Linked DNA regions of Xenopus tropicalis. The protein of the gene in region 5 interacts with the protein of the main gene of each other region in a pairwise test. Links are inferred from orthologs where the notes say so. Each region holds a gene or a part of one and is shown on either strand. Other genes may lie near its edges.

Region 1 (6,423 bases), on a different chromosome or scaffold from region 5:
ATGGTGTATCCCCAATTTAAACTAAACTGTTAATCATCTTAGCTCACCAGCACTGTATTGCTGAGGGGAGGGAGTGGCACAGGAGGAATCCTCCCTCCTGCCTTATGTGGTGGGATAAGGCTCTGCAGGAGGAGCAGAGCACAGCTTAGCCCACAGCCCAAGTGCTGGATAAGTGACCACTAATCTTGCACTCCATATCAAGCCTTATATGTTCTTCTGAGCAGGGCAACGGTAGCCCATCTGGGTCAGTGATTCAAACATTGTCTGCTGCACTCTAAAACAGAAAGGCTAATAAAAACCATACAAAATAATGTAAAAGTTGCCTAGAATAGGTGTATTTATAACATTCTAAAAAGTGTGCAAGCATTAACTTTCATTTGAAGCAGCGTAGGTGGTTTTTCAGTAAGAACAGTGATGTTGTGATGGCAGATTCTGTTAATGTCTTGGGCTTGGATGCTGCTGAGAAGGGCTTTCCACTAGAAGGTTAAACACTGCACACATTTAGTTATGCTCCCAAACACAGACAAACAGAAAGGTAGATTCTCATTTGGCATTTCAGTTGGGCTTAGGTAAAGATTCTATGTAGGCCAGTAAGGTCTTTGCACTTTAGCAATTCATAAAAACTCTGCTTTATGCATGTGGTATAAGTCATATGACTTTAAAGCTCTGGACAACAGAATGTTATAAATTTCTGTTCTTCAATGTGGAAAATTTCTGATTTTTCAAATTCAGGGTATGGGTTAAATTTACCATACGCATATTAAAAAAAAATTAAACCAGTAAAAATCATATTACGACAAAATTAAGAAAGGCAGATACAAACAGAAGGAACTAGCTTCACTAAAAAAAAAAAAAAACATGAGCTGATGACTTAACACAAAATTTATTTAAGTAAAAAAAAAAAAAAGTTAGGGCAGTCTTTCCCAATTAACTCTGCTTATCTGAGACCACTTCTTTGCAGAGCAAAATGCATTGCTTGGATTCTAAAGTGAACACACAAGTCACTGCACTTAAAAAAGTTTCCAGAACTAGGATGAGAAAAAAAAGTGTGGGTCTCTTACAGAAATGTAATGCAAAACCTGTATAACAGGTAACAAGTTGCTGCTCACTCCTATATTTGGCCTTATAGAAATATAGGCAGTTGACAACACCTAGTGCTGCTTGTGAACCTGCTTCCATCCTTCTAGCTCTTGTACATCACTGCTTTTGCTGTACAGCTTCTTTCCGTGCAGCGTCCTGGAGAAGCTGAGTGTCTACTTCATCAGCAGGGAGCTGTACATAGCGGACCACAGATCCCCGAATGAAACAATTCTTTACAGACAACTAAAAAAAAAATTTTTTAAATAATTACATTAACAAGTGTTTCAAAGCAGGATTAAAAGCTAAGTATCTAGTTTACTGGTGCAGATAAAAAATACAAAGAAAAAAAAAAAAGCTTACCATGTGTGGATATTTTTCTGGGTCTGTTACACTGATATCAGTCAGCTTAATGTTCAAATACTATAAAAAAAAAAAAAAGTGAAATCTTGTTTGAGATAATGAAAAACACAAGTTCCCCCCAAAAGTTCTATTCCAAGACATATTCCTCTATGCAGAATGCAAAAGATGATGTAGCACACTGATCACACATTAAATAAAGTGATTTATTGGCTTAATTAGCAGACATCTACTGGGAACATTTCAGCCAGTCTGAGAGTGACCCAAAACATTGCAAGAGTCGGTGCAACTTAATGCAACCACAATAACGGATCAGTGTGCTACAGCATCTTTGACCCTGGGCAGGTGGGTCTACAGACTGTTTAGCACCAGACACCTGAAAAGGTACTACGATAACAGGTAGAGCAGAGATATTCCTCTATGCAAACAAGCCCTCTAGGGTATAAAAAAAAAAAAATATGAGCAATATTCTCTTTGGAGAATCTTGTAGTAATTATGTTAATAAATATTCCCTGGTTTGACATTATACTCTGCAGGATGCGTACATTTTATTAAAGGCTCTGTCCCTTCAGGGGTTGTTCACCTTTGAATGAACTTTTAGTATGATGTGGACAGTGATAATTGGAGACAATTTGCAACTAGTCTTCATTATCGCAGTCTTTAATTAAATTTAGCTTTTTTTATTGCAGCTCTCCATTTTGGAATTGTAGGCGCTATCTGATTGCTAGGGTTTAATTTAACCTAGCGTTGTGGAAATTTCAGTAATGGTAAAGTCATTTAAAAGAAAATTTTCACTTTTTCATTTTTTTTTTGCCAACCCAACATTTTTCCCTGGCACTGAAAGATTTTATGCCAATTTCAGTTGCAAGGCTTAAGTGACAACATGGCTGAGCTGATAATTATGCTGAGAAAATAAACTACATTTATATATTTGCTCAGTTACTTACCTGATCAACTGAGTGTAGAGTACCACAGATACTGCAAGAGATAAGACCATTTATGTAATAGTGCAACAAAAGGCTAAATGGATGAAAGATGGCTAAATGGTAAAGAAGTGGTTATTTAAGGGTGTGAAGTCTACAGGAGCACAAGAAAATGTTTTTATAAATTCTGTCTACACAATACACTCTGCCCTCTAAAGTTTGACAATGGTCAGGGGGACTCTAAGTGCTGCTGCACCCACCGTGCTTACCTCTTTTGTGTTGGGCACATCACAAGTGCAGAAAGCACAACTGCACACACTGCACTAGGTTTAAGGGCTGTGACACACAGGGAGATTAGTCGACACGCAACAAGAAAGATTTGTTGCGCGGCGACTAATGTCCCCGTGTGTCACATCCCTTAAAGTACAGAAATTAGGTTCTTGAAATGTACCAGTGGCAGCTTTTTGCCTGACTGTATAGCATGTGGGGGGGGGGGGGGGGAAGCAATTCTAGAAAGAACATGGGGCAAAACACTCACCTCAGATCATTCTTCAGCTCTACCACCACATCCTTTCCTACAAGAGACTTGAAGAAGGAGTAGAATAGCTGTACATGATAAAAACAAGTAGTTATAAAAACCAGTTGCCTCTCCTGTAGCTTACCCAAGGCACATCACATAACAAATGTTGCCAAGATCCTTTACAGATCAAGGCAAAGCATGTTCTCTCATAAGACACAAACAATAACAGAGACAGACAAGTTGTTCTGTCCAACTAACATCAGGTTACAAATGATTGAAATGTTGTTGCAAAGCAGGGATGGCCAAATTCGAGCCCTCCCACTGCTATAAGACTACAAATCCCAGAATCCTGGTATAGGCAAAACATGGAACGTCAAAGCAGGGCATGGCCACTCAGAAAGCTGACCTTGCGACTATAGGGGGGGGGGACTGATTGCCAAACAGGTCTGTATACGCTGGTACACCACAAAATACATGGCTATCGACTCCTTAGGTTCTACCCTACAAAACGTGAAACAGTAACGGAACGCTAGTGTTCTTAAGCGGTTACCATTGCTTCTGTTGCAGTCGCACCACCCAAGCTCTATCTGGAAACTGAAGAACAAAACAGACGCCGCTGACAACGACAGATCTACACACCAAATGCCTTCCGCTCATTCACCGCTCTAGCGCCTCTGCATAAATCTCGCGAGAATTTAAAGCAGCAGGAATTTGCGCGCCGGCTTCAGGCACCGGCCGAATGAATGGGTCCCACGGTGATGACGCAATCATGATCTCGCGAGGACAGAAAACATTTTTTTCATGTAACTTTCTTGAGAAGTCCCCTAAACGTATTTTATCCCTGAACAACTAAAATACGTTAAAAAAAATACAGGTTTTATAAACTGGGAGCAGGTACTAAGTGTAACAAAGTATAGATTAGTTTATGAAACAGTAGAATAAAAATGAACTATATTAAGGTTAGGCACTCCACATTAGATCTGTAATGTCCAACCTTAAAATGTTTTTTTATTTTATTGTTTCTTCTGCCAGCAGAATTCTAACCTAGGGCCAAACTAGCGACAGTCAGACAAGAATCAGATTTATCTCTCCTTGTTCTTTGGATCCCTTTTTTGTATTTTTTTAATCCCTAACCTTTGGTTTGTCACTTGCCCACCTCCTGCCCTTTTTGAGCTTCTGCTCAGAGAAAATGTCCCTTGTACCAGTTTATTAAACAACTTTGGATTCCAGGTGTAACTACAGAGGCTGGAACTGCATTCTGACCCACAAACACAAACTATCAGTTCTTGCACAACAAACATCAATTGTAATGTTAAGGACCAATAATTACCAACTCCAGGTACAAGGCATGAGGGTTACGAGATAGCTAAAAGGAGTTACGCTGTCCATACCTGGGCTAGTTACTGTTAAAGGAGACATATCCTATAAAAATTATGAATGTGCCAGTGAATTATACTCCTCTAGATATAGAAGGAATGTGCTTAAAAAAGTTGTATTTCAGACAGATTTATTGAGAAATTCCCCCAAAACCCCACTAGTCCCCCCCATCTGCTCCACTTCCTGCTGGCTGAATTCTCTGGATGAGCTGGGGAGCCAGCGGCCCTCTATACACTGCACTGTAGGATAGGAACCAATCAGCAGCTAGGCTGACCTGATAGGGAACTGAAGCCTGTCTTTGCTTGTGTGAGTGCAGGTCTGTGATTGGCTCTCCCCCTCCTACTGTGCTTCTTGCAGGGACCGTTAGGACACGCCCACTCTTCATTTCAAACATGGTCAGAGAAGAGAGAGGATCTATAGGGAGCTCCAATAAAGGGGCCATTTTTACAAATAGGATTAATGTTTAGCCCAAAGGGAAACCAGCACCGTATATTATTCATAATTGCCTACAAAATTAGGGTTTTCCCCATTTATCAAATATGTCTCCTTTAATTTACCCTTCATATAAGTCGGTTCCATATTGGTCTGTGTAGGGACATTGCAGTTTTCATTTAAAAATGGTAATTATCTCAGGACAAAACAAGACAAGGAGACTGGAGGAACTTGGTGCACCTTAGGACGCCTGTCCAGGTTGTTTTGTAGCTCTACCCCTCCCACCCAAGCCTGCAAGCGCACAGGTCCCACAGCTTGGGCTCAGGAAGGATGGAGAGTGCAATGGAAGTGCAGGTCCTAACTTGGCACCCTCTCTCCCAGGTCATCTGCTATAGCGTTTGACTGAACTGTCCCCAAGACTTGAGGCCAACAAATGTCTGCAGTGGGTTAGAAAATGTCCTAAGGAATGAAACTCATGGGCCTGTTCATGCAGTTCTCTCGCAAGATACCTGCATATGTCCCTCACTCGACATGTTAATTGGCTCTGGGGCTAGACAAACGGTGGACAAACATGGAAAGATTTGTTTGCTTTGCAAAATGACATAATTAGCATCTGTTGTTAAAGCAGACCCACTATAACTAGTGTGATACCATAGCAAGTGCCTGTGGGCGCAACACAACAACGGAAGTGTACAGAGTTCCCTTTCACCTTACCAGAGGAGATGTAACTAGATAATATAGTTATACAGCAACACTAAAGGAATTATTCTACAATTAATGTTAAATAATCCCTCCTATTTCCAAACAAAGCCATACAAGCGCAAGAGGTACGCATATTTGTAGCACACGAATAAAACCCACGCATCAATCACTCTCTATGCATATCTATTATATTCTAGCAGCTATCGCCAATTTATTAGCAGATGATTCACATTTCACGCCACAGTTACACTCCCTGCCATTCTCTCTAGAAAGATCGGGAGTCTTCGGCGATTGCCACTATCCGAACAACCCCGAATCTGCGGGCAAACTCGAGAAAATTCTTAGAATGATATCATCGGCAAAACTGGTTGCTGATTGGCTGACGACGTGGAAGCCTCGGGAAATTTCGGGACGGTTGCTGAGGTGACCGGGGCTGGCGTCGGGAGTACTGCTCTGTGATTGGCTAATATGTTTTGGAAGCGTCCTATAAACACTGCGCGATTTGCCATGTTATGGAGTAGCAGACAGTTTTGAGAGCTGACAGAAACAAACTATTAAACCTTAATCTCTCGGCAAAGACACAGCTGCACATATACAAGCGGAAAGTGTGAAGAAACTCTAAGGAGCAGAAACATGGCATCCAAAGGAGTCGCAGTTGGCATTGATCTCGGCACTACCTACTCCTGCGTTGGTGTTTTCCAGCATGGTAAAGTAGAGATCATCGCTAATGACCAAGGGAATCGCACCACTCCTAGCTATGTGGCTTTCACAGATACAGAAAGGTTGATTGGTGATGCAGCCAAGAATCAAGTGGCAATGAATCCCCAGAATACAGTCTTTGATGCTAAGAGACTTATAGGAAGAAAGTTTAATGATCCCGTGCTTCAGACAGACCTGAAGCACTGGCCGTTCCAAGTGGTAAGCGATCATGGGAAGCCAAAGGTTAAAGTGGAGTTTAAAGGAGAGGAGAAAAACTTCTTTCCCGAGGAGATCTCATCTATGGTGCTTATAAAGATGAAAGAGACAGCAGAA
Region 2 (6,499 bases), on a different chromosome or scaffold from region 5:
TCCAGTCACCATGGGCCTCTTGGCTGCATTTCTGATCAGCGCTCTCCTTGTTCGGCCTGTGAGTTTAGGTGGACGGCCTTGTCTTGGTAGGTTTACAGTTGTGCCATACTCCTTCCATTTCTGAATGATTGCTTGAACAGTGCTCCGTGGGATGTTCAAAGCTTTGGAAATCTTAGCCTGCTTTAAATTTCTCAATACCTTTATCCCTGGCCTGTCTGGTGTGTACTTTGGACTTCATGGTGTTGTTGCTCCCAATATTCTCTTAGACAACCTGAGGCCGTCACAGAGCAGCTGTATTTGTACTGACATTAGATTACGCACAGGTACACTCTATTTAGTCATTAGCACTCATCAGGCAATGTCTATGGGCAACTGACTGCACTCAGACCAAAGGGGGCTGAATAATTACGCACACCCCACTTTGCAGTTATTTATTTGTAAAAAATGTTTGGAAACATGTATGATTTTCGTTCCACTTCTCACATGTACACCACTTTGTATTGGTCTTTCACGTGGAATTCCAATAAAATTGATTCATGTTTGTGGCTGTAATGTGACAAAATGTGGGAAAGTTCAAGGGGGCCGAATACTTTTGCAAGCCACTGTATACTAAAAAGGTGCATTATTCACCCAGTGCCACACAAAAGCCAATACTGATACTTCTTATATACCCTGTAGTATAGTAGATTATTTGTGCCAGTCTCATTACTATGTATTTTTAAAAGACTTACATGTACCAACCTGCACCAGAAAAAGATCTGGTATCTTATTGGGGCTGGAGATTAATGATTACTACAAAACAGTAACATTTTAGAGATATTAGCTTGAGCTCCTTGCAACTGCATTTGTGTCTACAAAGGGAGAATCTAGGAAAACACTTTTTAATCAGCAGTTTAAGTTAACAGCTCCATAATTAGCGAGCAGGCATATGTAGGATCCATCTCTCCAACCACACTGTTAATAAAGACTTTACAAAGATTTACTGAAACAAAATGCAATAACAGACTAAAAAAGAAAAAGCGCAATAGTCTTTTCCTGATTGCTATTCCTTTCTGATGTCCCAATAAAGAAATGATTTGTTTTATTGCTAGAAGTATGGCAGTATAACCAGAAGCCAATTAAGGTGTCAGCGTGTTTTGGAGAATAGGGCAGAAATCCAAGCAAACAGAGAGAACCTATAAACTCCCAAATGGTTAACTTTTGTAGTAAATCACTGCCAAACCCTTTAAGGGGTGGTTCACCTTTAAGTTAAAGGAACAGTAACACTAAAAAATAAAAATGTTTTAAAATAATTAAAATATAATGTACTGTTGCCCTGCACTGGTAAAAGTTGTGTGTTTGCTTCAGAAAGACTACTGTAGTTAATAGAAATAGCTGTTGTGTAGCCATGGGGGCAGCCATTTAAATTGAAAAAAGGAGAAAAGGCACAGGTTACATAAGAAGATACCAGATAAACTGTGTAGAATACAATGGGAATCTGCTACTTATCTGTTATCTGCTTAGTAACCTGTGCCTTTTCTCCTTTTTTCAATTTAAATGGCTGCCCCCATGGCTACACAGCAGGGTATTTATATAAACTGTAGTAGTGTTTATGAAGAAAACACACAACTTTTACCAGTGCAGAGCAATAGTACATAATATATTAATTATTTTTATACACTTTCATTTTTTGGTGTTACTGTTCCTTTAACTTTTAGTGTGTTATAGAATTGCCTATTCCTATTCATTATTTCTTATAGTTTTGAATCATTTTTTTATTTTCTTCTAACTCTTTCCAGCTTTCAAATAGGGGTCACTGACCCCAGCAGCCAAAAAACTATTGCTTGGTGAGCATACAGTTTTATTGTTATTGTTACTTTTTATAACTTGTTTTTCTATTCAGGTCCTCTCCTATTTATTTACCACCCTTTCATTCAAATTGCTACCTGGTCGCTAAGGTAATCTGGACTCTAGCTCTAAGATAGCTGATGAACAAAAAGTGAAAGAACTAAAAAAAATACTACAAATAAAAAATTAAGACCAATTGCAAATTGTCTCAGAATATTACACTCTACATCAGGGATCCCCAACCTTTCATACCTGTGAGCCACATTCAAGTGGAAAAAGTGTTTGGGAGCAACACAAGCATGAAAAAGGTTCCTGGAGGTGCCAATGAGAGCTATCATTGGCTATTTGATAGCCCCCATGTGGACTGGCAGCCTACAGAAGGTTCTGTTTGGCATTATACTTGTTTTTTATGGCTGCAAAACATGCCTCCTTTACCAGAAATTCAAAAATGAGCACCTGGTTTGAGGCCACTGGGAGCAACATCCAAGGGGTTGGAGAGCAACATGTTGCTCGCAAGCTACTGTTTGGGGAACACTGCTCTATATCATACTAAAAGTTAATTCAAAGGTGAAGAACACCTTTAAATCTGCTACGCAGTAAAGCTATCCATTCAGTTATTTTACACAATAGGACACTAAAAAGTGTACACATTTTCTGGTCGGTCTTCCAAATGCTTTTGCAATTCAGATTTGTTTTCAGTTTCAAAGTTATTAAGCATGTTATAAGCGTCTATTATAATTATTATGTAACAATTGCGCCACCTACTGGTATATCCCTCCAATTGCACAATCTGAGAAAACATGGTCAAAATGAAACATGGAACTGTTCTTATTGCGCTCTTTAGCGACTGAATTCCCAGCACAGAGCGTTGCCTTACATACTGGAACAATATTGGAATAAGATTTGCCTTGTCCTATAACCACTCTAGGAACTAGATGCGCCCTCTTTGTTAACTAATCCACCCCGCCTTTTCTCTGTCAGATTACGCCGCTGCCCCTCTGCGTAGCAAACTGGAGGGAACTTGTTTCGTGTCGATCACGTGGGCACGTTTCTACAGGCTTAACCAAATCAAGCAGGAACTAGCCGCTAAAGTGGCCCGGAAGCGGAAGTGGCCCTTCAAAGGAAGCGTTCTACACGCCGGGAAAACGTGAGAAGGGAAAGGAAAGACAAAAAGAAAGATGTGAGTAACTGGTGGAATATCTTCAGCCCAGCTTTAAATACTTAAAAATAAGGAAAAAAACTAGCCTTTTGTATCTACTTAAGTTTAGCTGATTGACGCTTAGAACGAATGCCTCTATGTAGCAGAGCATGCGATTGTACTAGCCGGAACTTGCCTGCACTTAGAAAATGCTGTGTAGTTCTGTGATTTAATTACTGTGGCAGAGATGGCAGTGCCAAAAAGCTTCCCTTGCAGGCTACCAGCACCAGGTCGTGTGTATAAACAGCTCCCCGGGTTTTCTCATTATGCAATTGCATGTGACACTTGCTCACTATATACAGGCATGTTAATAACATGGCTACCTGCAGCAAGTTCTCCATCATCCGGGTGTGGGTGGCACATCGCTATGAGCATTTTTTTGGACAAAATGGTACTGTTTCCCCCAACCTAAGTGCGGGTTCTATTAGCCCAATTCAAATCCGATATGTGTCTTTTAATACTAAGCAACTATTCAGTATACACGATTTAAACATTTTCAATGGTTCTAAATGTTTTCAATCAATTTCTAATCAATTCCATATCTTTCCTGGTTGGACCCACATGACAAGTTTCTACAAAGGAAATATTCTGCAGCTTTATGTGCTTGCACGATTATAGAGATCTGTGTGGTCAACTTAAACACTAATTTGTGTTTAAAAAATGCATATGACTGAAAAATATGCCTTTTAACACATTCAGCCCAGACTTTTTTGTTAGTTTATTAAGGCTTAATTGCTCTAGCAATAAGGGGTGGGACTTCACACATGCTCAGTAATGTTTTTGACTATGGGGCACTCCTTTAAAAACATGGAGGCAGCAAGTAGATAGCGATGGGTAAAAACAGCTTTAAACATGATTATTTGGGGAAAATTAAACCTAGTAATTAAAATCGTACCAAAATGGACAGTTAATAGGGTAACCCATTTTTAATAAAATTGTATTCTCCATTAAACAAAAAATCACCAGTAGACGTTTTGTTGTCAGAAAAATAGTGTTATATCTGATTTAGTACAGTGGTGTGAAAAACTATTTGCCCCCTTCCTGATTTCTTATTCTTTTGCATGTTTGTCACACTTAAATGTTTCTGCTCATCAAAACCGTTAACTATTAGTCAAAGATAACATAATTGAACACAAAATGCAGTTTTTAAATGAAGGTTTACGTTATTAAGGGAGAAAAAAAAACTCCAAATCTACATGGCCCTGTGTGAAAAAGTGATTGCCCCCCTTGTTAAAAAATAACTTAACTATGGTTTATCACACCTGAGTTCAATTTCTGTAGTCACCCCCAGGCCTGATTACTGCCACACCTGTTTCAATCAAGAAATCACTTAAATAGGAGCTACCTGACACAGAGAAGTAGACCAAAAGCACCTCAAAAGCTAGACATCGTGCCAAGATCCAAAGAAATTCAGGAACAAATGAGAACAAAAGTAATTGAGATCTATCAGTCTGGTAAAGGTTATAAAGCCATTTCTAAAGCTTTGGGACTCCAGCGAACCACAAATGGCAAAAACATGGAACAGTGGTGAACCTTCCCAGGAGTGGCCGGCCGACCAAAATTACCCCAAGAGCGCAGAGACAACTCATCCGAGAGGCCACAAAAGACTCCAGGACAACATCTAAAGAACTGCAGGCCTCACTTGCCTCAATTAAGGTCAGTGTTCACGACTCCACCATAAGAAAGACACTGGGCAAAAACGGCCTGCAGGCAGATTTCCAAGGCGCAAACCACTTTTAAGCAAAAAGAACATTAAAGCTCGTCTCAATTTTGCTAAAAAACATCTCAATGATTGCCAAGACTTTTGGGAAAATACCTTGTGGACCGACGAGACAAAAGTTGAACTTTTTGGAAGGTGCATGTCCCGTTACATCTGGCGTAAAAGTAACACAGCATTTCAGAAAAAGAACATCATACCAACCGTAAAATATGGTGGTGGTAGTGTGATGGTCTGGGGTTGTTTTGCTGCTTCAGGACCTGGAAGGCTTGCTGTGATAGATGGAACCATGAATTCTACTGTCTACCAAAAAATCCTGAAGGAGAATGTCCGGTCATCTGTTCGTCAACTCAAACTGAAGCGATCTTGGGTGCTGCAGCAGGACAATGACCCAAAACACACCAGCAAATCCACCTCTGAATGGCTGAAGAAAAACAAAATGAAGACTTTGGAGTGGCCTAGTCAAAGTCCTGACCTGAATCCTATTGAGATGTTGTGGCATGACCTTAAAAAGGCGGTTCATGCTAGAAAACCCTCAAATAAAGCTGAATTACAACAATTCTGCAAAGATGAGTGGGCCAAAATTCCTCCAGAGCGCTGTAAAAGACTCGTTGCAAGTTATCGCAAACGCTCAATTGCAGTTATTGCTGCTAAGGGTGGCCCAACCAGTTATTAGGTTCAGGGGGCAATTACTTTTTCACACAGGGCCATGTAGGTTTGGATTTTTTTTCTCCCTAAATAATAAAAACCCTCATTTAAAAACTGCATTTTGTGTTTACTTGTGTTATCTTTGACTAATAGTTAAATGTGTTTGATGATCAGAAACATTTTGTGTGACAAACATGCAAAAGAATAAGAAATCAGGAAGGGGGCAAATAGTTTTTCACACCACTGTATATATTCCCAATTCTTGCATAGACCAGTATGTTAATGAAATCTAAACTGTGGTGGGGCTAATAGTGACATGAATGGTTTATAATCTCTCTAAAGAGCTGCAGAATGTATCAGCGCGTTATAATAATCTGTATGTATACACCCTTTTATTGCACAGTGCCAATAAATATGTTGACACTTTATAGATCCATGTTAATAACATATTGCCAAATAATTCCCTGCACTTATACACAAAACTAAGAGTTGGACAGCGCATATTGTGATTTTGTTAACTGACACCATTGTTTGTAATTAAAAGGTTTAATAATTTAATGCCATCTCACACTGATTCTAAATCTCTTCAGGAGTCTCCTTAACAAGCCCAAAAGTGAGATGACACCTGAAGAGCTACAAAAGCGAGAAGAGGAGGAGTTCAACACAGGGCCACTGTCTGTGCTTACTCAGTCTGTGAAGAACAACACACAAGTTCTGATCAACTGCAGGAATAACAAAAAGTTGCTAGGCAGAGTAAAAGCCTTTGACAGGTACTATGTTGATAAAAACTTGGGAAATAAAGGGAATGAATCGGTGCATGTTTTCTGCCTCTCTAATAATTCATTATGTGCAAGTGCAAACATTTTTTTTTACAATACCACAACAAAATAAAATGCATTTATTGATGAATTAGTATTATCTCCCCCCTCTAATGTTTCCTAGCTCAGCAAGCCAGATTAATGGGCTTGTAAGAAGACTCAGGACATCTTTTTTTAGATCACAGACTTAATTCCTGAGGTTAGGTCACCTCCATTTTAATCTTGCACCTACGCAAGTAAAGTGTTTTACCACTGACCATTCAGATTTACTACAATCCAATTTTATTTTTT
Region 3 (6,530 bases), on a different chromosome or scaffold from region 5:
AGAGCAGAATGGATGGAACTCAGGGTAATTAGGCAGTAGAGGTACCTGCTTGGCACCCATCGACCATTGCGGCCAGACACGGGCCTCTTCTGCCTACCCCTAGTTTCGGCCCTGCTAAGGGTTACAATTTTTCACATCTTATATGAATTTTCACTTTATGGCATTATTTGCCCCTTTTAATACAAATATTTATTGTGCTTGTTGCTCAGCAGGCTAAGCCACAAAGCCTTTTTAAAAAGGTATACCTTATCGGAATATAGATTCATTTAATTTCTTAAGCAACCAGTAACTGAGATATATATAGGTAATAAATCCGTGTGTAAATGCAATAAAAGGAATGCAATTAAAATAATATTTACTTTGTAAATCTCCTCATATGTCTCCTCATCAATCTCTATGGTTGTCACGGTCTCTTCCACATCTCCCAGGATCATGTTCAAATGCTGATCATATGCCTGTATAAAAGAGCAAACAAGGAAACAGGTTTTCCTTACGCTTCAAATATGATCCGCACAAAACAAATCACCTATACTAAACACTCACGTGTAAACGTCCACGCAGCTCTCGGTCATTCCTCATCTTAACGTAGATCCGTTCATCTAGGCTAAGTCTGATCAGATCCAGAGGCTCTTCCACTGTATTTGTGGTTTGTTGCTAGATCGATGGAGAGGGGAGGAAACAGAGATGTAATACAATACTCAGCACCATGACCAGTTTTGCTCAAACATGCAAGTTTATTCAACACAACAGTGTCACATTAACAGTCCCTGAGACAGTTACAATTTTTGGATCCTATAACACTGGGCCACATGTCTGCTTAATAAGTTATTCTGTGTGTTTGAGCGGTAGTTTCTTTTTAGTATGATTCAATTTATAGTTTTCAGTTTAAACCTAGTCCTGTGTTTCTGCCTCTATCTTAAAACTGTTTTTGCTGGATACATAAGAGTTGCCTGTATATTGTTTAACCCCTTAGCTGCAAAGTAATAATCATCTGCTTTTACCACAAATTCTGGTCCCCTTTCTTTTGCAGATGGTGCCGTGATATATTAGCCTCCTTATAATTATGATATTATAAAAAGTACTTTCAAGGAAATGTAAACCCAAGAAAACAGTCTCAAAACTGCCCAGCACTCTATTCAGAGCACTTTTGCAGTTGACTTTTTTCCCCCCCATGTCTTTCGAAGGTTTACATTTCCTTTAAACGAGTAATGGCACTTCTGATTCTATATTCCAGTGAATAAGTTGCAAATATTTAGCAATAGCAGTCTTTTAAGCCACACAATCAAGTGTCAGTGCTTGCAGGGGTACAGAGTATTTGCATGAGTTTAGTAACTCAGCATCCACAGGACCTTTGGGGGGGGGGGGGGGGGGAAGTGTGAAGGGCAGCAGGTCCTCAGGCAACTAAACTCAAGCTTGCTTGATCATTTGTCAATATATGAGAAGACTTGTCATATCTTTGTTGTGCTGGCTCCAAGAACATATATTAGCCAATGCCCGTCTGTTCCATTGTTTACTTTTGCACTTAACCTAGCCCATCAAAATAAAGACTTGTGCAGGGAATGTTAATCTAATGATTGTGATCTGTTCCTCTCATCCACTGACTGATTTAATGACAAAAACGGTCAAGCCCATCTGATCAAATGTTGGGACAATGCAGTTGAAATGATCGTATATTTTACAATCGTTTCCCCCTGAATGTAACAATAAGTTAATAATAAAGCAAATTTTATTGGTTCACTGTAAAGGTGGCCTTACACGCTAAGATCCACTCGCTTTGCGAAGTCACCAAGCAAGCGGATCTTCTCCCAATATCCCCATCTATGGGTGGGCAATATCAGGCTAATTCGGTCGTTTGGCCCCAGGGTCAAATGTCCGAATTAGGACGACGGCCATAGGCGTCTGTCTGTTTGGGGACTGCATTAACGAGCCAATGCAGTCCCCGATCAGACTGATTTTTAAACCTGCCTGATCGAGATCTGCCCGATGTCAGTTGGGCAGGCCTGTCGTTAATGCCCATACACGGCCAATAAGCTGCCGAATTGGTCTAAGGGACTGATATCGGCAGCTAGAATCAGCCCATGTATGGCCACCTTAAAACTGGTTGTTTCACATGACAAAATCTGCTTGTGTATGGGCACCTTTATTGTTTTGAGCAGTCAGATTTGATCTACAGTTACCAAATAGCATTTCTTTTCTCCCCTGCATGGGATTGTAAGGTCTGTGGGGCAGGGACCTCCTTCCTCTTGTCTAGGACACTTAGCACTATACCTTTAATGTAACTGTACTATTTGTATTTTAATTATAAATAAAGCCCAGAGTGTAGTTTCACTAGTGTGAAGTACAATACTCTTGTATTTGTGTCTTGTTGTTTTTTTATTATTATTTTTGACACTGGCTAACACGGTACTACAGTTTTTGTTTTGTAACCTGAGCTATTAAAACCTTACAGTTTTCATTTTTTGTCTTGTTTGAACTTTAGATTTAAGGAATGCTTGTGGTGTCTTTAATAAAAAGCCAAAATGACAGACTTAGGTTATAGATTTAGACCCGCTTGGGCAGCCAATAGGGTAGTGAACCAGCTGCCTAGCCAGTAGTTATTTAGTTTGCTCCCAAAAACATGCACCACCTCCATACAGCTTTCAAACTGCTGAGCTTTGGCAGTGATGAAATGTATGTTGTGTTCTTCCAATCAACATGGATTGACACATTAGTAAATTAGGAGACATGTTGGATAAATGGGAAAACCCCTCATTTTGTAGGCAATTATGAATAATATCCGGTGCTGGTTTCATTTTGGGCTAAACATTAACCCTATCTGTAACAATGGCCCCTTTATTGGAGCTCCCTATAGATCCTCTCAGGTCCCTGTCTGTGTTTCAAATGAGGGGTGGGCGTGTCCTAACGGTCCCTGCTAGAAGAACAGTAGGAGGGGGAGAGCCAATCACAGCCCTGCACTCACAAAAGCACAGACAGGCTTCAGTTCCCTATCAGGTCAGCCTAGCTGCTGATTGGTTCCTATCTTAGAGTGCCCCGGCTCCCCTGCACATCCAGAGAATTCAGCCAGCAGGAAGTGGAACAGATGGGCGGGGCTAGTGGGGTTTGGGGGGATTCTCAAATCAGTCCGAAACAACTTTTTTTTTTTTTAAGCACAATCCTATATCTAGGAGTATAATTCACTAGTATATTCTTAAATTTTATAGGATGTGTCCCTAAAAAACAGGAGTCAAGAGTCAATTGGGAGATAAACTCAGAAATCTGAGGTATAGAAACTAAAACAAGCCTTGTGCTTCTATTGTTTGAATATATTGACGCCATCAGCCACACAGAACATACATTTCATTTTACTCCTGACCACAACAACTGGGTTTTTAATCAGATTTACATCGCTAGTTATGAATATAAACACACTCCACCGGTGCTTCACGATTAAAAAAAAAAAAAGGCTTTGAAATAAAAGAGAAAACAGTCCAGTTTGAATAAACATTCACTTAATTCCCCGCAACATAAAAAAACCCTATACGCGTTCCCAAGCGAGACCGGGCCAGGAGCACCCCTTATGCCGCACTGCGCCGAGAACCGAACAGAACCTGTTTTCCAGTCTTATAAACCCACATCCCTACCTGCTCTCCGTCGTCCGCCATCTTCAAAACCCCGCGCAAAGGAAATAGCCGAGAACCCTGACAATTCTCCTATCGCGATATTTATGTGCCACAGGAAGAATGTGAAGCTCGGCCAATAGCGTGAGAGTATGGGCAGTAAGTGGCGGAGGCCTGGATGTGACGCTTGGCCAATAGCGTGAGAGTATGGGCAGTAAGTGACGGAGGCCGGAATGTGTAGCTCAGCCAATAGTGTGAGAGTATGGGCAGTAAGAGGCGGAGGCCTGGATGTGAAGCTCGGCCAATAGCGTAAGAGTATGGGCAGTAAGTGGCGGAGGCCTGGATGTGACGCTTGGCCAATAGCGTGAGAGTATGGGCAGTAAGTGACGGAGGCCGGAATGTGTAGCTCAGCCAATAGTGTGAGAGTATGGGCAGTAAGAGGCGGAGGCCTGGATGTGAAGCTCGGCCAATAGCGTAAGAGTATGGGCAGTAAGTGACGGAGGCCGGAATGTGAAGCTCAGCCAATAATGTGAGAGTATGGGCAGTAAGTGTCGGAGGCCGGAATGTGAAGCTCAGCCAATAATGTGAGAGTATGGGCAGTAAGTGGCGGAGGCCTGGCAGCGGGGTGCACATGTGTATGTTCCGGAAGTGACGCGTTAATGTTATTGTCTGAGACAGATTGTTTCCTGTTGTGTGGGTTATACAACCAGAGGGGACATGTGAGGTAGAATTGTGGGGAGATGGCAAAGCGGAGGGGGTCTGAGGGTGCTGCGGTAGCGGGGAACAAGCAGAGAAACCGCCCGGCAATAGACTCCCTGCATGGTGGTGAGTTTCTATGGGGTCTGCATGTCTATAGAGATTTTCATTCATCTTGTGAATGATATACAGTAACACGTAAAATGAAATCTAAACACAGACTTAATTCACAGACTTAAATAGACTTAATTCTTATAGGTACTGTATGGGGACACTGTGCAGAGTTTCTAAATAGGCTGGGAATAATACTGTAGTGAGTGCAGATTGAACCCTATGGGCATCAGCCCTGTACTATTCACTATACTGGTTTTAAGATTCTTCTATGATTGCTAAGGTAACCCCTAGAAACCAGATAAATTAAATACAAACCTTGACAACATAATTCAGAGACCAGATGAAATAAAAAATAAAGACCAGTTGCAGATTGTGTTAGTATTATGCCATCTGGACAATATTAAAAGATAGGCAGAGTTAGCCCTTGAATTGTGCATGGGCTTTTATTTCTGTGCTAAATGATTAACTACCAATGCTTTGGGCTCTGGTGGAACATTACAGGTCGTTTGCACTTAGCTCTTCATCCTTCCTATTTAATAAAGGGGCATCTTGTTTTAACCATGTAGATGACGAAGATAAATTCTATGAAGAGAAGAGACCCCCAGTTAAGAAGAGTAAAGATTCCTGCGGTGACAGTCTGACGAAGCAAAGTTGTGTAGCCAAGAGACCGACTGTAAATGATGGGAAAACAGTTGGAAAACAAACACAGTGAGTCATCTTGGTTGAGTTGATTGGTTTTACAACAATGCAGGAGAGATGCACTAAGTCTGCTCCATGTTTGCTTATTCTTGTGTCAATATGGCCAATATGGATAAAGCCGGCCATACACACACCAATGATGTTGTACAAAACCTCATACGATTCTCTGTGCGTGTATGGGGCTTGACGAGGCAACTGATATTGCAAAAAGCTGTGGATATCGGTCGACTAGTCGATCGGCCAGGTTAAAAGGTTTTGATATGGCACCCCGAGCAAAATCTACGTTCAGGGCTGAATCGGCAGAAGGAGGTAGAATTTCTATTGTTTCTACCTCCATATCTGACGACTCAGCCCTGAACGTTACTGGAGGGTGGGAACGATCGAAAGATCAAAATTGCTATGTGTATGGCCACCTTAAGTGGTCTTAGCGCAGCGCACAACAAGGTAGCTGGAGCTTTTACATGCATGTATAAATAAGCCCACATGCTCATATCTGTAGTTTATTAGTCTATAGTTCAGATTTACTAACCCACTTTAATTAAGAAATTTCTTATGCAATGTTATTTATGCTCAGATCTGTACTGATTTCAGTAGTATATGTGCTTAAGTCAAATGTAAGCACTTAATACAAATAAATATAAAATTACTCATCATTTTTTCCATTTACATAATTATTTTTGTCTAGTTTTCAAGATAGTGGTAGTTTTTACTCTTCTCATATAATGAATTTAAAACAACAGTGTCCCTGCCTGCTGTTCAGTTCTGCCAATCAGCTGGCAAAAAATCCACTTTAGTGAGAAGAAAGGAGTCATCTAGCAATTCTTGTGTCAGTTCATCGCAAGACTTCCGTCTGCTCACAAAAGTCATTTCCTGAGTCAGACTAGCGACAAGACTTTTGTCTGCTTGCTAAGTCAATTTTCTGCCAAATGTGGCTAAGGTTTTATATAAAAAACATTTAGATTATCATTCATGGCCTCATTCTTGAGTTTTAGTCTTTTTAATTCTTGCTGTGCAATCTACAGAGATCCACCAAATTTGAAGATCAAGACGCCTGTTAAAAAGTTTAGTGGCTCGAAGGATGCAGAAGAGAGTGAAGATGAGTGGGAGGATGTGGAAGGTAATGGACTTTTATGAATTTATATATCTAGTGAGCCATTTACAGTCTGACTGATCCATATTTAGGGCACTTTGGCTGCGGGGATGATGAGGGGGAACCAAATTTCCAGACACGATATAGTGTCCAGCGACACTATTCAATCTGCAGTATTCCAGTCTTTCACATTCATGGTTCAAATAAGCTCCAGAAAGACACCCATCTGATTTTGTGGGCAGATGAACTTGGTGCCTTAAGGGCTGTGGCACACGAGGAGATTAGTCGCCCGCGACAAATCTCCGTTGTCGTGGGTGACAAATCTCCCCAAAATG
Region 4 (6,608 bases), on a different chromosome or scaffold from region 5:
GTGGGATAAACTGGATGTAGACTATAAGCCAAGCTCTTGTTCCTGTACAAAATATGCTGTTACAAATCAGACTAGATTGAATTAAGCAAAAGTAATGCTAGTTACCATTTCCTTTAATACAACTGGATTACCAAAAGTATCTAGGTATAAGCCTATCCTATATCTTATTCTCAAACCCAAGTGTAATATATGAAGTTGGTCCTCCCTTTGCTAAACTGTTGTTTTATAGCTTCTACAATTAAAGAAGGCTTCCCACTAGATGGTATAGGTACTGGTTTCTATAAAGACAAGAGAATTACAGATTAGGCCTGGCTCACAGCTAGCATTACAGTTCACCCAACAGATATTGATAGGTAGATGGCAGAGCTCAGTGCAGGCCATTCAAACACTGTGAGCTCTGTGCAGAATTGGTTTGCTTAGGTGGAAGTATTTGAATCATGTCCCCATGATTGTGCAGAAGAACTGCACACAAATTAGGAAGAACAGACCTGTCAAAAATGTCATTGTACACTGCAGCATTAAGCAGGCCATACACATTAAGATTTTTAAAAGATCTTTTAGTTATCGTAGGATCAAGCTTATCCTGAAACGATGGCTTAAAAGTACGATTTGACCATTTCAAGTGATATCGTCTAGCTGAAGCTAGGAAAACTACCTGCTTTGGTCCTGCAAAAAACTGGAGAATGGGCACATTTCATTGGTAACAACTACAATTTTAAAACTTGACAGATGTCAGATGAAAAATAGCTAGATGTGCGAACGTTTGGTGCCCACTAACCTTATGATAATTTGACGGATTGTCAGATCGCAATGAAATTGGTTGTTAGGGAGAAAAAAAACCTTAATGTGTATGGCCACCTTTAGTGTTTGCTCTCACTAGTCCAAATCATAAAATTGATGCTTCCTCCAAAAATGTTCCAGACAGATAACATTCTGCTAACATCCACTAACCCAGACTCATCCTATAGACCAACAGTAGTAATATTTACACCATACAAGCTAATGCTTGGCACTGGTGGTTTTATATATATATGGTATATAGCAGTTTACCCATCATAGCCCATGCTCACAACAAATAATTCTAATACTGTTGGTGAGCAACACACAACCTGTGTTTTTGGCCTTACAGAATTATCTTGTAGATTGTAACCCAAAGTATTTATGTCTTAGTCTTCATGGCACATGTGTCTTGTCCCTGTGTATTGTGCAGGCAAACTAACCAATGCTTGCAGAGGTGCATAATGCTCTTTTAAGTAAAATCACAAAGTAGAACTTCTATTTGAAGGCTTTTAATACAAAAAACAAATTCACAGAAGGAATGTAGCATCTTCACTTAACATAAGGGCATTTGCACCAGGAGGAGGAGGAAGGGGCATATTAACAACTGTTATAAATGAAAGCTAAACTCGCTCCAAAGCTTCCAGCATTATAATGCTGTTCCCTCGAATTACCTGTAAAGCAAAAAAAGAAAGGTTAACCACATATATCACCCCTTAATAAATGCAACAAATTCTAATAAGTCTTTTATGAAGGATTCAGGGTTCGGTTGAATCCAAAAATAGTGGATTCAGTACATCCCTAGTGAACACAGAAATCCCACAATGCTGGGCTTAATGGCAATTAACTTAAATGCATGTGGTACATAGCACTGATGTATGTAGCCATGCACTGTGCATATAATAAAACAATGAACTCATCCTACCCAGAAAACATGGGCTAGATCCCTCTCTTTAAACTGGCCATCTTTAAAGTACTAAAGCTGCTCAGCCGATTAGTCATTATTTAATCTGAACTTCACAGAAGCCAATACACTTTGCAATATTAGCTGCTAATAATCTGACCATATTCCACTAAATGCAGCCATACATGCTCAGATTTTGTAGTCTCACGACTGATTTCAGGACAAACTGTATAGCTGGTAGTGTACAAACAATTCTAGATGTAAGAATTTACTAATTGGCCCAACATTCTTAAAAATATCAGTTGGGCAACGATAAGAGTTGGTGTGAAAGTTGTCGTTGAACAGTCGCTTTCTGTGCATATATTGGCAGTACCTGCAGAAGTCAACGAACGCATATGACAAGACCCAAATGTTTGTTGCCAACCCTACATTTTAACCACATAAACACTATGAAAAGTCATGTGCATGCTGTTGGTAAATATAAATACAGGCAAAAGAATACCTTGCTGCAATACCAGCAAGCCAAGGCAACCAGCCACATTACAAACAAGCAGAACTCATTCGTTCACTTGTTGTAATAGCAAATAGCATACCAATATCGATAAAAATTGATGAAAAATACATCACTTCCTGTTTATACTGCTTCCGCCACAAGCTGATATAGCATTGTAGATGCACAATATTACTTTACCTTTTGGCAACAAAATGACGACATCTTTAACGTGCTACTTCTCTGTGGATAACATTGTATGATTAAATGCCATTTGTAAATGTAATTGCTATTGAAAGCAGCATTTGCCGAACTCCTGGTGGTTACTTTTTAAACAATGTTGCAAAAGTCAGTCTCCTTCCCCAAGTCAGGTCTGTCAGTTGGCTGCCTTGTGTTACATTGTTTCAAATGCCAGAGCCACCAGGGCAGAGAATAGAAAAGGACAGACAAACACTGCTTCTAATAGCAATTATATATACAAATAACTCAAAAACCATTACAAATTTGTAATAAATGTATATTGCAAAGCTGAGAATTCTGTTTTCTTTTATTAGGCAAAAAATTATATTTTGCGTTGCGTTGTCCTCAAATGTTAGTTTAAAAATTGGAAAATCTGACCATGAACGGCCACCCTAAATTACACACACAGTAAGGGACCATACAATATATGTTGCAGCTCAGTCTAACACTTACCACCATTCCAATGGTGTTTTGGTGGCCACCCCCTGATATCTCTGTGCACTCATCTATTACAAGGTTCATGAAGGGATCAAAGCCACGCAGAATCCCCTGGACATGTCTCCCACCATTTAACTTCACTGAAAGAAAGAAAAGAAAGGAAATTTGATCAGATGCTTCAAGGTTTTGGTGGTTTACTGGTTTGGGGAGTCACCTGGTACAGTTCCCTTATAACTGCATATATTTATATAGAGTGAGGAACAGCAGTCCTGTATCCTGAATAAATCCTTCATTGCACCATCTCTCTGCTGCTTCTTATTCTAAATAACACTGTTATTTGGCCAAGCACCTGAATAAGGTCCGAGCACAGACCTCATCATATATATTTTTATTTTTTAAAAGAAAACTATACCCCCAGAACGAATACTTAACCAACAGATAGTTTATATTTTGTTAAGTGGCCTATTAAAGAATATTGTCAAACTGGAATATATATTAGTAAATATTGCCCTTTTACATCCTTTCCCTTGAGCCACCATTTAGTGATGGGCTGTGTGCTCCCTCAGAGATCAGCTGACAGGAAATAATGCAGCTCTGACTGTAACAGGGAGTAGTGTGGGAGCAAAAGGCAGAACTCTGCCCATTCATTGGCTGATGGGGCCTAACATGTATGTGTGTCTTGGCTTGTTTGTGTGCACTGTGAATCCTATGATCCCAGGGGGTGGCCCTTAATTCATAAAATGGCAATTTCCTATTTAGTACCACCCGATAGCACATACTACTAAAAAAATAATATTTTTAAGAAAATGGTTTATTTAGATTAATTTAGTTTTACATATGAGCTTGTTTATGAAACATTTTTATAGAGACCTACATTGTTTGGGGGGTATAGTTTTCCTTTATTTTTTTTTCTTTTTACAAGTAGATGGAAAATTTTTCAATACTTACAAGACAGTTTCTTGTCCATGAACCTAAAAGTAAAAAGTACACAACATTTAAATACATTATATTATAATAATAACTCAACAAGACCTAATCACCTGTGCTCAGATCACTAGACTAGGGACCCAAGAGAAGCCAATGCAGTTCCCTTATAGGGTTAGTATCAGGCATAAGAGCTACTTCACTCTTCCCAGAGATCCATGTGCACATTATGAAATACTAGAATCCTTAATGAATCCTATGACTGCGACTGATGTAGTTGGCCAGCTTGGAGTATATTGCAATATATGGGCAATCAATCAGTTTGACCACAAAATATAATTGGAAGATATGTGGGAATCGAAAAGATCCCCATTTCTTTCTGTGTGAATGATGTGGTTGCAGCCTCCATGCTCCAAAACGGGCCATTCAACATGAAACAGCGCAATGGAGGCTGCAGGTTTGGGTGTATGTTCCCCGGCTACAGCCTAAGCCGCCCCTCCGCTCTGCCCCTCACTTGCCCTCCGCTCTGCCCCTCACTGCCCCCTCCGCTCTGCCCCTCACTTGCCCCCTCCGCTCTGCCCCTCACTTGCCCCCTCCGCTCTGCCCCTCACTTGCCCCCTCCGCTCTGCCCCTCACTGCCCCCCCCCGGGCCGTTCCTTACTTCTTCAGCTCGGGCGGGTGCGCTTTGCTCATTTTCGTTCCTCGTGTACAAAGCCCCGGTCGCTGCCGCCAAGTAACGCAGTCGCCTTAATGTGACGTAAGCACGTCTTACGTGTATGCGCTTCCCCGCCCACCCCCACGGTCGCTATGACGACCACCAAAGAATACAAAGGAGACGCGTTAGCCGGCTTTAGTTGGGCTAAATATAACATTGTGTATCAAATATTAAAGTATATAAGAAATATTGCAAATTTGATTACATATATACGTTTTCCCTGATTGGTTATAGAAGAATTTAACAAAAACTTGGGGCTATGGAAGCTAGTCGGTCAGCTTAGATGTCTGCCGCAAAACAACGTAGATGCCGTAGAGTTAGAGTAAGGGCAAGCCGTAACCGGAAGGGTATGTGTAAGGGCGGAAGAGAGGTGCGTTGCCCTTGGAGCACACGCTTGTCAGACATGGCAGAGGAACAGCAGAACCGGCTTCAAAATGCGATAGACACTATGGTGAAGAGCTTGGAAAGGGACAACATTAGGAAAATGCAGGTACCATAGTCTGGTGTAATTAGTCTTATGTCATAGGGCGTTACAGCCCATCTTCCATTACTTCTTTTATTATACTCTGCTGCCATTCAAAGTCCCCCTGGGGTAGCACTCCCATGCACTTGAATGGAAGGGGCACAAATGCCTGGGGGTCCAATAGGAATTGGTCATTTTTAATGTACAGGACTAATGGCTGTGGGATGCCTTATATACCAGGTTTTACTTGTCCTTTAATATAACATACTAGTTTTCCTGCTACATTTGCTTAGCACAGGGACTTATCTTTCTGTTCAGGTTTCTGTTCCTTACCATTAAACCGCAAGTACTGTTGCTGCAAACTTCATCAGAAATGGGTAGGGCAAAAAGAAACTGGGGCAAAAAGAAACTGGGGCAAAAAGAAACTGGGGGAAAAAGAAACTGGGGGAAAAAGAAACTGGGGCAAAAAGAAACTGGGGGAAAAAGAAACTGGGGCAAAAAGTTCAAATGAGTAAAACTTATGTTTGAAAGCCACAGTGTGGCCCAAGCCTCTTAGCAAAGGAAATCTATACCCCAGACAATGTAGGTCTCTATAAAAATATATTGCATAAACAGCTCAGATGTAAAACCCTGCATCTTCTAAATAAATTGCATGAAAATATACTTCTTTTAGTAGCACGTGCTATTGGGTAATCCTACATAGAAAATTGCCATTTTATATATTAAGGGCCTCCTGCTATTGTAGCACACAAACACACCAAGGGCATGCACTGAATCCGGGATTCGGTGCAGGATTAAGTCTAATCCAAGGTCCTGGCCGAACCAAATCCGAATTTTTAAAAACACCTGTCTTTTTGTCACACTCTGCGTGGGGTTCTCTTTAACCCTTACTTGCCTTAATTTGTATGTACAAATTTGGTTTGGAATTCGGTCAAATCTTTAACAAAGGATCCAGGGTTCGGCCAAATCTGAAAATAGTGAATTTGGTGCATCCCTATATACATATATTTTAATGTTGAAATTGTTTAATAGGCCACTTAATATGATCTGTTGGATATATATATATATACACTACGAGAATAACCATCACAAAAACCAAAAGTGTGTTTCTATATGCATCCAAAATAGAGACCCCCAAGTATAAAACAGTAGCTCATCAGTATTACCTTGGGTCTGGGATGTTGGTGTTTTCATAGGGGTTTGCAATTTATATCTGTGTCACACGACTGTGTTAATGCCCCCCATAACCATAACCAAAGCCAATGGGAAAATAATCTGCATGCAGAAAGTTTGTTCCTATGAGACAGGACCCCCAGCCTTCTTCTCTGGGACACTGTTGCAGATGCAGGGTCTGTAGCTGGTTCAGGGGATCATATTTTATTTATTCATAGTTCATGAATGGCCTCTAGCTGGCTTGGGATGTTTTATCCACTTCAGGTGATCAGGTGACTTGCAGGATGTTTATAATTGTTGACAATTTGATCAACCTTTGGAGCACAGAATGTGAATGTGGCAATAGTACATGGCAAATAAAATGTCAGGACATACACAAATAAATTGCTTAAACCAGTGCTATCCAGCTTGTGTTGTGGGACAGTGATTTTGTCATACTGGTATGGGACCCCTTATCCGGAAACCCATTATCCAGAAAGTTCCA
Region 5 (5,972 bases):
ATTTAATGGTTAAATTATTCCCTTTTCTCTGTAATAATAAAACAGTACCTGTACTTGATCCCAACTAACAAGGTAAAACAATCCTATTGGGTTGATTTAATGTTAAACTGATATTTAGTAGACGTAAGGAATGGAGATCCATATTGCACAAAGATCCCTGTCTGGAAAGGCCCAGGCCCCATATCTGTATTAAGTTACCATTAGCCAGAAAAGAAAAGGTCTATCAATACAATACTAAACATTAATTTAAAAATGAACTTCCCCTTTAAAAGAGAAAAACCCAGGCACAGCTAAAATCATCCCCCGCATTCCAAATGATACACACAAAGATGCAGCCTGACCTATTTAAGCCATTATGTAGCAAAAGAAAGAAACCATTTTGACTGCTCCATTTCGTGGGACTGTCAGGTTGTGAGTCAGAGCCTCTCTCCCCCAATCTGCAGTCACAATGATGATTTAACCCTTTAAGTGCCAGCAACATTTTACATGTTTCTGGAACATTTTGTTTTTCCTCACTTTAGAGGCATTTCCTTGGGGGGGGGAGCTTTAGTTTCTCTAGGAAAATTAGTTGGGATCAAGTACAGGTACTGTTTTATTATTACAGAGAAAAGGGAATCATTTAACCATTAAATAAACCCAATAGGGCTGTTCTGCCCCAATAAGGGGTAATTATATCTTAGTTGGGATCAAGTACAGGTACTGTTTTATTATTACAGAGAAAAGGGAATCATTTAACCATGAAATAAACCCAATAGGGCTGTTCTGCCCCCAATAAGGGGTAATTATATCTTAGTTGGGATCAAGTACAGGTACTGTTTTATTATTACAGAGAAAAGGGAATCATTTAACCATTAAATAAACCCAATAGGGCTGTTCTGCCCCCAATAAGGGGTAATTATATCTTAGTTGGGATCAAGTACAGGTACTGTTTTATTATTACAGAGAAAAGGGAATCATTTAACCATTAAATAAACCCAATAGGGCTGTTCTGCCCCAATAAGGGGTAATTATATCTTAGTTGGGATCAAGTACAGGTACTGTTTTATTATTACAGAGAAAAGGGAATCATTTAACCATTAAATAAACCCAATAGGGCTGTTCTGCCCCCAATAAGGGGTAATTATATCTTAGTTGGGATCAAGTACAGGTACTGTTTTATTATTACAGAGAAAAGGGAATCATTTAACCATGAAATAAACCCAATAGGGCTGTTCTGCCCCCAATAAGGGGTAATTATATCTTAGTTGGGATCAAGTACAAGTTACTGTTTTATTATTATTATTATTGAGAAAAAGGAAATCACTTTGTTATTTGCCTAAAATAGACTCTATGGGTGATGATCTTACAATAACCTGGAAATTCCTAGATAATGGGCTTCCAGATAAGGGATCTCCCATATATTTTATTTGGTGCCTACAAATGTAAATCCAGTCAGTAGCATCCATGTTAGCCTGATTTCAACAGTAGTTTACAGCCAAAAGCCAAGACCACCAGAAAACGAATTTTAAATTACATTTTAGCACCTTGTTGATCTGTGATTTAAAATGCTATTTCCTCACAACAGTTACCTCTATTTCCCTGATTAGTGGGAGCAGATACTGTACAGGCAGAGGGGACACTCTTAGGGCTTTTTAAGCATATTGTGTAAAAAACAAGAATGTGCCAATGCATTTTACGCTTCTAAATATAGAAGGAATGTGCTAAGAAAAGTGTTTTGGGCTGATTTCATAAAAACATTTCCAAAAACCATGTGTTTCACTTCCTGCTGGCTCCTTTCCCAGGCTGTTCAGGGAAGCTGGCAGCACTTGCACTGTAGCTTAGGAACAATCAGCAACTAGGTGGGTCTGATAGGGAACAGGAGCTCCCTATCCTGGATTTTGTTAGGAGTGTCAGTGACACTACACATGCTCAGTGTGCTCTGGGCATATTGAGCTCTGATGCTAACTGCATTGGTTTTAGAGCTGCCATGTAATCTGTATTATTTACTACACTATCTCACTTATATTGTAAAATGTATATTCTATATATACAGTCTATTGTGAGTGGTTCCCTAAGATCAGTTACTGACGGCAGCCCAGGGCATGTGCTGGGAATAAGTGTGAAAGAAGATGGGGGGCAACTGGGGCATCTTCAGATCTTCACTGCTATAGGGCTGTGGTTGCCCTGGGCTTATACAGAAACCCAAAACACAATGTACAACATTTCTGCCCTACGTTTTTAGTTAAGCTTTAGTTCTCCTTTAAGAATGTGCATGGTGCAAGAGCCAGAGTCTATTTATATGTGATGAACTAAAACTCTCAACCTTCTGCAGTCAGTGTAGCGCTGGTGTAATATATATATATATATATATATATATATATATATATATATATATATATATATATATATATATATATATATATATATATATATATATATATATATATATAATGCCGCATATAAGGGTGAAGACACACGGAGCTGCTAGTTGCAGATACTTGTCATGGCTACAGAAACAGACAATATTGATCATTTACTGATAATTGTCTCTACGTGTATTTTAGCAGAGGCAATTCTCAGTATTGTCTATGGCAGGGGATTTTCTGGCGTTTAGTAACCGTGACAAGTAGCTGCTACTAAGTAGCTCTGTGTGTCTTTACCCTAACACTGCTAGCAGAGCCTATCAGCAAAGCTGAACTAAGAGGTCACCAAAGACAAAAACCTGCCCGCACCTCCGAGCTTGGAGTTCACCATGACGTAGAGATGCTCCTCAGGATAGGCGGCCGTGTCCCTGGAGATTGCATGTAGACTGATTGAAGGATATTCTAATGAAAAACCAAGGCCGGAACCATTCAGCCATGATAGGCGACTGAAAGAGAAACAGAAAATCTCACTAAATTTGTTTTTAGGGAACCAGAAAAAATAATGGTTTAAAATTAGGTGTATTATGCTTGCTGCTCCCATCCCTCAGTCTAACAGTTTCCTCTAATAATAATTTTAATGGCTGGTCAGGAATGAGATATTACTACTGGTAGCCTTTCACTAGTGCTAGCTATATATATATATATATATATATATATATATATATATATATATATATATATTATATATATATATATATATATAGCAAGAAAAAAGAGCTGCACTCACCAGGACTTGGCAAAAATATAGTAAGTTTATTTAAGCAAAGAGATCCAACGTTTCGAGCACTAACTGTGCTCTTCCTCAGGGAGAAAGAGCACAGTTAGTGCTCGAAACGTTGGATCTCTTTGCTTAAATAAACTTACTATATTTTTGCCAAGTCCTGGTGAGTGCAGCTCTTTTTTCTTGCTATATATATATATATATATATAATATATATATATATATATATATATATATATATATATATATATATATATATATATATATATATATATATATATATATATATATATATATATATATATATATATATATATATATAAGTGAATGAATGTCGGCACTCACAGGATTCTCACAAGGATGTATCACAGACAATATGGTTGAATGCAACTAGGTGAGGTTTATTGTCCTACGTTTCGGTTCTTTACTGGAACCTTCGTCAGGTTCGAAGGTTCCAGTAAAGAACCGAAACGTAGGACAATAAACCTCACCTAGTTGCATTCAACCATATTGTCTGTGATACATCCTTGTGAGAATCCTGTGAGTGCCGACATTCATTCACTTATCTACATTTTGCGGCTCTGGCACCCAGGTATTGTACCTAAAGTTTGGTGTGCTCCCCACTCTGCAATCTGTGTATATATATATATATATATATATATATATATATATATATATATATATATATGGGATGCACCAAAACCAGGATTTGACCTTTTTCAGCAGGATTTGGATACGGCCGAACCAAATTCGAATCCTCTTTAAACCTTTCTTATCTTAATTTGTATAATAATAATTTGTATAATTACTACATTATCCTAATTTTAACATTTCCTTATCCTAATTTGCAAAATAGTGTATTTGGTGAATCCCTAATTATATATAAAAAAATGAGCCCCTGCACTGACTGACAATCAGAGACTAAAGTAACTGGCAATGTAGGGGGTGATCCTGTTAACTCTATCTGTGCCATATAATAAGGGTCACAGTGGTCTTGACCAATCCGGCAGCTTATCTGCCCATGTATGTGGCCCCCCACCCACCCCACCAATCCAATAAAGGACTGTGTTCATCTCATTGATGTGGTCCTCACTCCAACGGCTCTTATCCCTGTCATTGTAACCAAATGATCCAATTAGCCCAATATTGCCCACTGTAGGTTACCATATCAGGAGAAAAATTCTCTTATTTAAAACCTCACCAAACGAGCCAATCTTATAGAGCCGCCTTTAGGGCTCTGGCACACGGGGAGACTAATCTCCCCGAGTTGCCATCCCACCGGCGAAAATGTAAGTCGCCGGTGGGATGGCACACGCTGCGCAGGCGATTTCGCCAAATCGGCGAAGTTGCCTCACAAAGGCATTTTCGGCGATTTGGCGAAATCGCGCCGCCGCATGTGCCATCCCACCGGCGACTTACATTTTCGCCGGTGGGATGGCAACTCGGGGAGATTAGTCTCCCCGTGTGCCAGAGCCCTAAAGGCAGCTCTATAAGACTGGCTCGTTTGGTGAGGTTTTAAACAAGAGAATTTGTCGCGGGCGACTAATCTCCCTGTGTGCCAGAGCCCTTAAGGTGAAGACACACAGAGCTACTTAGTAGCAGCTACTTTTTCAAGGCTACTAAACTCCAAAAAATCCCCTGCCATAGACAATAGTGAGAATTGCCTCTGATAAAACACATGTAAAGACAATTATCAGTAAATGATCAGCATTGTCTGTTTTAGTAGCCATGACAAGTAGCTGCTACTAGTAGCTTCATGTGTCTTCACCCTTAGGGTGAAGACACACAGAGCTACTAGTAGCAGCTACTTGTTGTGGCTACAGAAATAGACAATGCTGATCATTTACTGATAATTGTCTCTATATGTGTTTTAGCTGAGGCAATTCTCAGTATTGTCTATGGCAGGGGATTTTCTGGCATTTAGTAGCCACGACAAGTAGCTGCTACTAGCAGCTCCATGTGTCTTCACCCTTAGGTTTGCTTCCAGCAAGGGAACCATCTACAAAGAATATATATGTCCTGTACATGTCTGTGTGGGTTACCCCCCAAGTGCTACGGTTCACCCCCCAACATAAAGGCAGAATAACTGGTTCCTGCTAAAACTGGACCTAGTGTATGTTACAGAGACTATAGACTACAAACTCCCCTGGTGCAGGAATGATGTATAATCTCCATTCAGCGCTGCAAAATATGCCAGCCCAACATATAGGGTAACACTGTACTGACTATACCATACGCTGGTTACTGTGCATATATATATATATATATATATATATATATATATATATATATATATATATATATATATAATACAGTCAGTACTATACACAATATGTGTAGGAATGTGTGTTAAGGTGCCCATACACGTTAAGATCCGCTCGCTTGGCGAGGTCACCAAACAAGCGGATCTTCTCCTTCACCTACGGGTGGGGGATATCGGGGGAATTCAAGCTAATTCGATCGAGTTAGAACGCCGGTAATAGGTGCAGTCGGTTCGGGGACCCTACACTACCGATAAGCTGCCGAATAGGTCTAAGGGACCAACCTCGGCAGCTACAATCGGCCCGTGTATAGCCAGCTTTAGCCTATGGCCAGCAGGTTATACAGGTAACAAATACGCTACACAATCACTCAATATATAGTGAATAAAGCAGCCCCTATTGTAACATATAGGGATATTTTAAGTCCCCGAGGAGTTCCTTATAATATATAGTGAATAAAGTGCCCCCTATTGTAACATATAGGGATATTATAAGTCACAGAGGAGTTCCTTATAATATATAGTGAATAAAGTGCCCCCTATTGTAACATATAGGGATATTATACGCCCCCGAGGAGTTCCTTATAAT

Evidence for each region.
Region 1: the proteins of clns1a (region 5) and lsm2 interact in binary tests that used the Homo sapiens proteins (3 or more experiments, as listed by UniProt). The link is inferred for Xenopus tropicalis from reciprocal best matches to the Homo sapiens genes CLNS1A and LSM2.
Region 2: the proteins of clns1a (region 5) and snrpd2 interact in binary tests that used the Homo sapiens proteins (3 or more experiments, as listed by UniProt). The link is inferred for Xenopus tropicalis from reciprocal best matches to the Homo sapiens genes CLNS1A and SNRPD2.
Region 3: the proteins of clns1a (region 5) and lsm3 interact in binary tests that used the Homo sapiens proteins (3 or more experiments, as listed by UniProt). The link is inferred for Xenopus tropicalis from reciprocal best matches to the Homo sapiens genes CLNS1A and LSM3.
Region 4: the proteins of clns1a (region 5) and snrpg interact in binary tests that used the Homo sapiens proteins (3 or more experiments, as listed by UniProt). The two-hybrid records come from large-scale screens. The link is inferred for Xenopus tropicalis from reciprocal best matches to the Homo sapiens genes CLNS1A and SNRPG.

What each region holds. Positions count from the first base shown.
Region 1 is NC_030684.2:75,102,324-75,108,746, forward strand, and holds lsm2 (U6 snRNA-associated Sm-like protein LSm2), read right to left. Parts: upstream 3,572-6,423; 5' UTR 3,434-3,571; coding exon 3,431-3,433; intron 2,967-3,430; coding exon 2,899-2,966; intron 2,416-2,898; coding exon 2,385-2,415; intron 1,501-2,384; coding exon 1,441-1,500; intron 1,324-1,440; coding exon 1,198-1,323; 3' UTR 865-1,197; downstream 1-864. UniProt on the Homo sapiens protein: Plays a role in pre-mRNA splicing as component of the U4/U6-U5 tri-snRNP complex that is involved in spliceosome assembly, and as component of the precatalytic spliceosome (spliceosome B complex).
Region 2 is NC_030684.2:70,385,443-70,391,941, reverse strand, and holds the start of snrpd2 (small nuclear ribonucleoprotein Sm D2), read left to right. Parts: upstream 1-2,934; 5' UTR 2,935-3,005; coding exon 3,006-3,007; intron 3,008-5,980; coding exon 5,981-6,160; intron 6,161-6,499. UniProt on the Homo sapiens protein: Plays a role in pre-mRNA splicing as a core component of the spliceosomal U1, U2, U4 and U5 small nuclear ribonucleoproteins (snRNPs), the building blocks of the spliceosome.
Region 3 is NC_030680.2:132,917,506-132,924,035, forward strand, and holds the start of lsm3 (U6 snRNA-associated Sm-like protein LSm3), read right to left. Parts: upstream 3,655-6,530; 5' UTR 3,642-3,654; coding exon 3,621-3,641; intron 655-3,620; coding exon 544-654; intron 456-543; coding exon 360-455; intron 1-359. Other genes in the region: xpc (DNA repair protein complementing XP-C cells), read left to right, coding at 4,337-4,421, 4,973-5,114, 6,128-6,222. UniProt on the Homo sapiens protein: Plays a role in pre-mRNA splicing as component of the U4/U6-U5 tri-snRNP complex that is involved in spliceosome assembly, and as component of the precatalytic spliceosome (spliceosome B complex).
Region 4 is NC_030679.2:122,084,202-122,090,809, forward strand, and holds snrpg (small nuclear ribonucleoprotein G), read right to left. Parts: upstream 4,494-6,608; 5' UTR 4,467-4,493; coding exon 4,435-4,466; intron 3,821-4,434; coding exon 3,798-3,820; intron 2,990-3,797; coding exon 2,865-2,989; intron 1,452-2,864; coding exon 1,401-1,451; 3' UTR 1,274-1,400; downstream 1-1,273. Other genes in the region: protein FAM136A, read left to right, coding at 4,892-4,978. UniProt on the Homo sapiens protein: Plays a role in pre-mRNA splicing as a core component of the spliceosomal U1, U2, U4 and U5 small nuclear ribonucleoproteins (snRNPs), the building blocks of the spliceosome.
Region 5 is NC_030678.2:168,850,619-168,856,590, forward strand, and holds part of clns1a (methylosome subunit pICln), read right to left. Parts: intron 2,849-5,972; coding exon 2,712-2,848; coding exon of another isoform or gene 2,706-2,711; intron 1-2,705. UniProt on the Homo sapiens protein: Involved in both the assembly of spliceosomal snRNPs and the methylation of Sm proteins.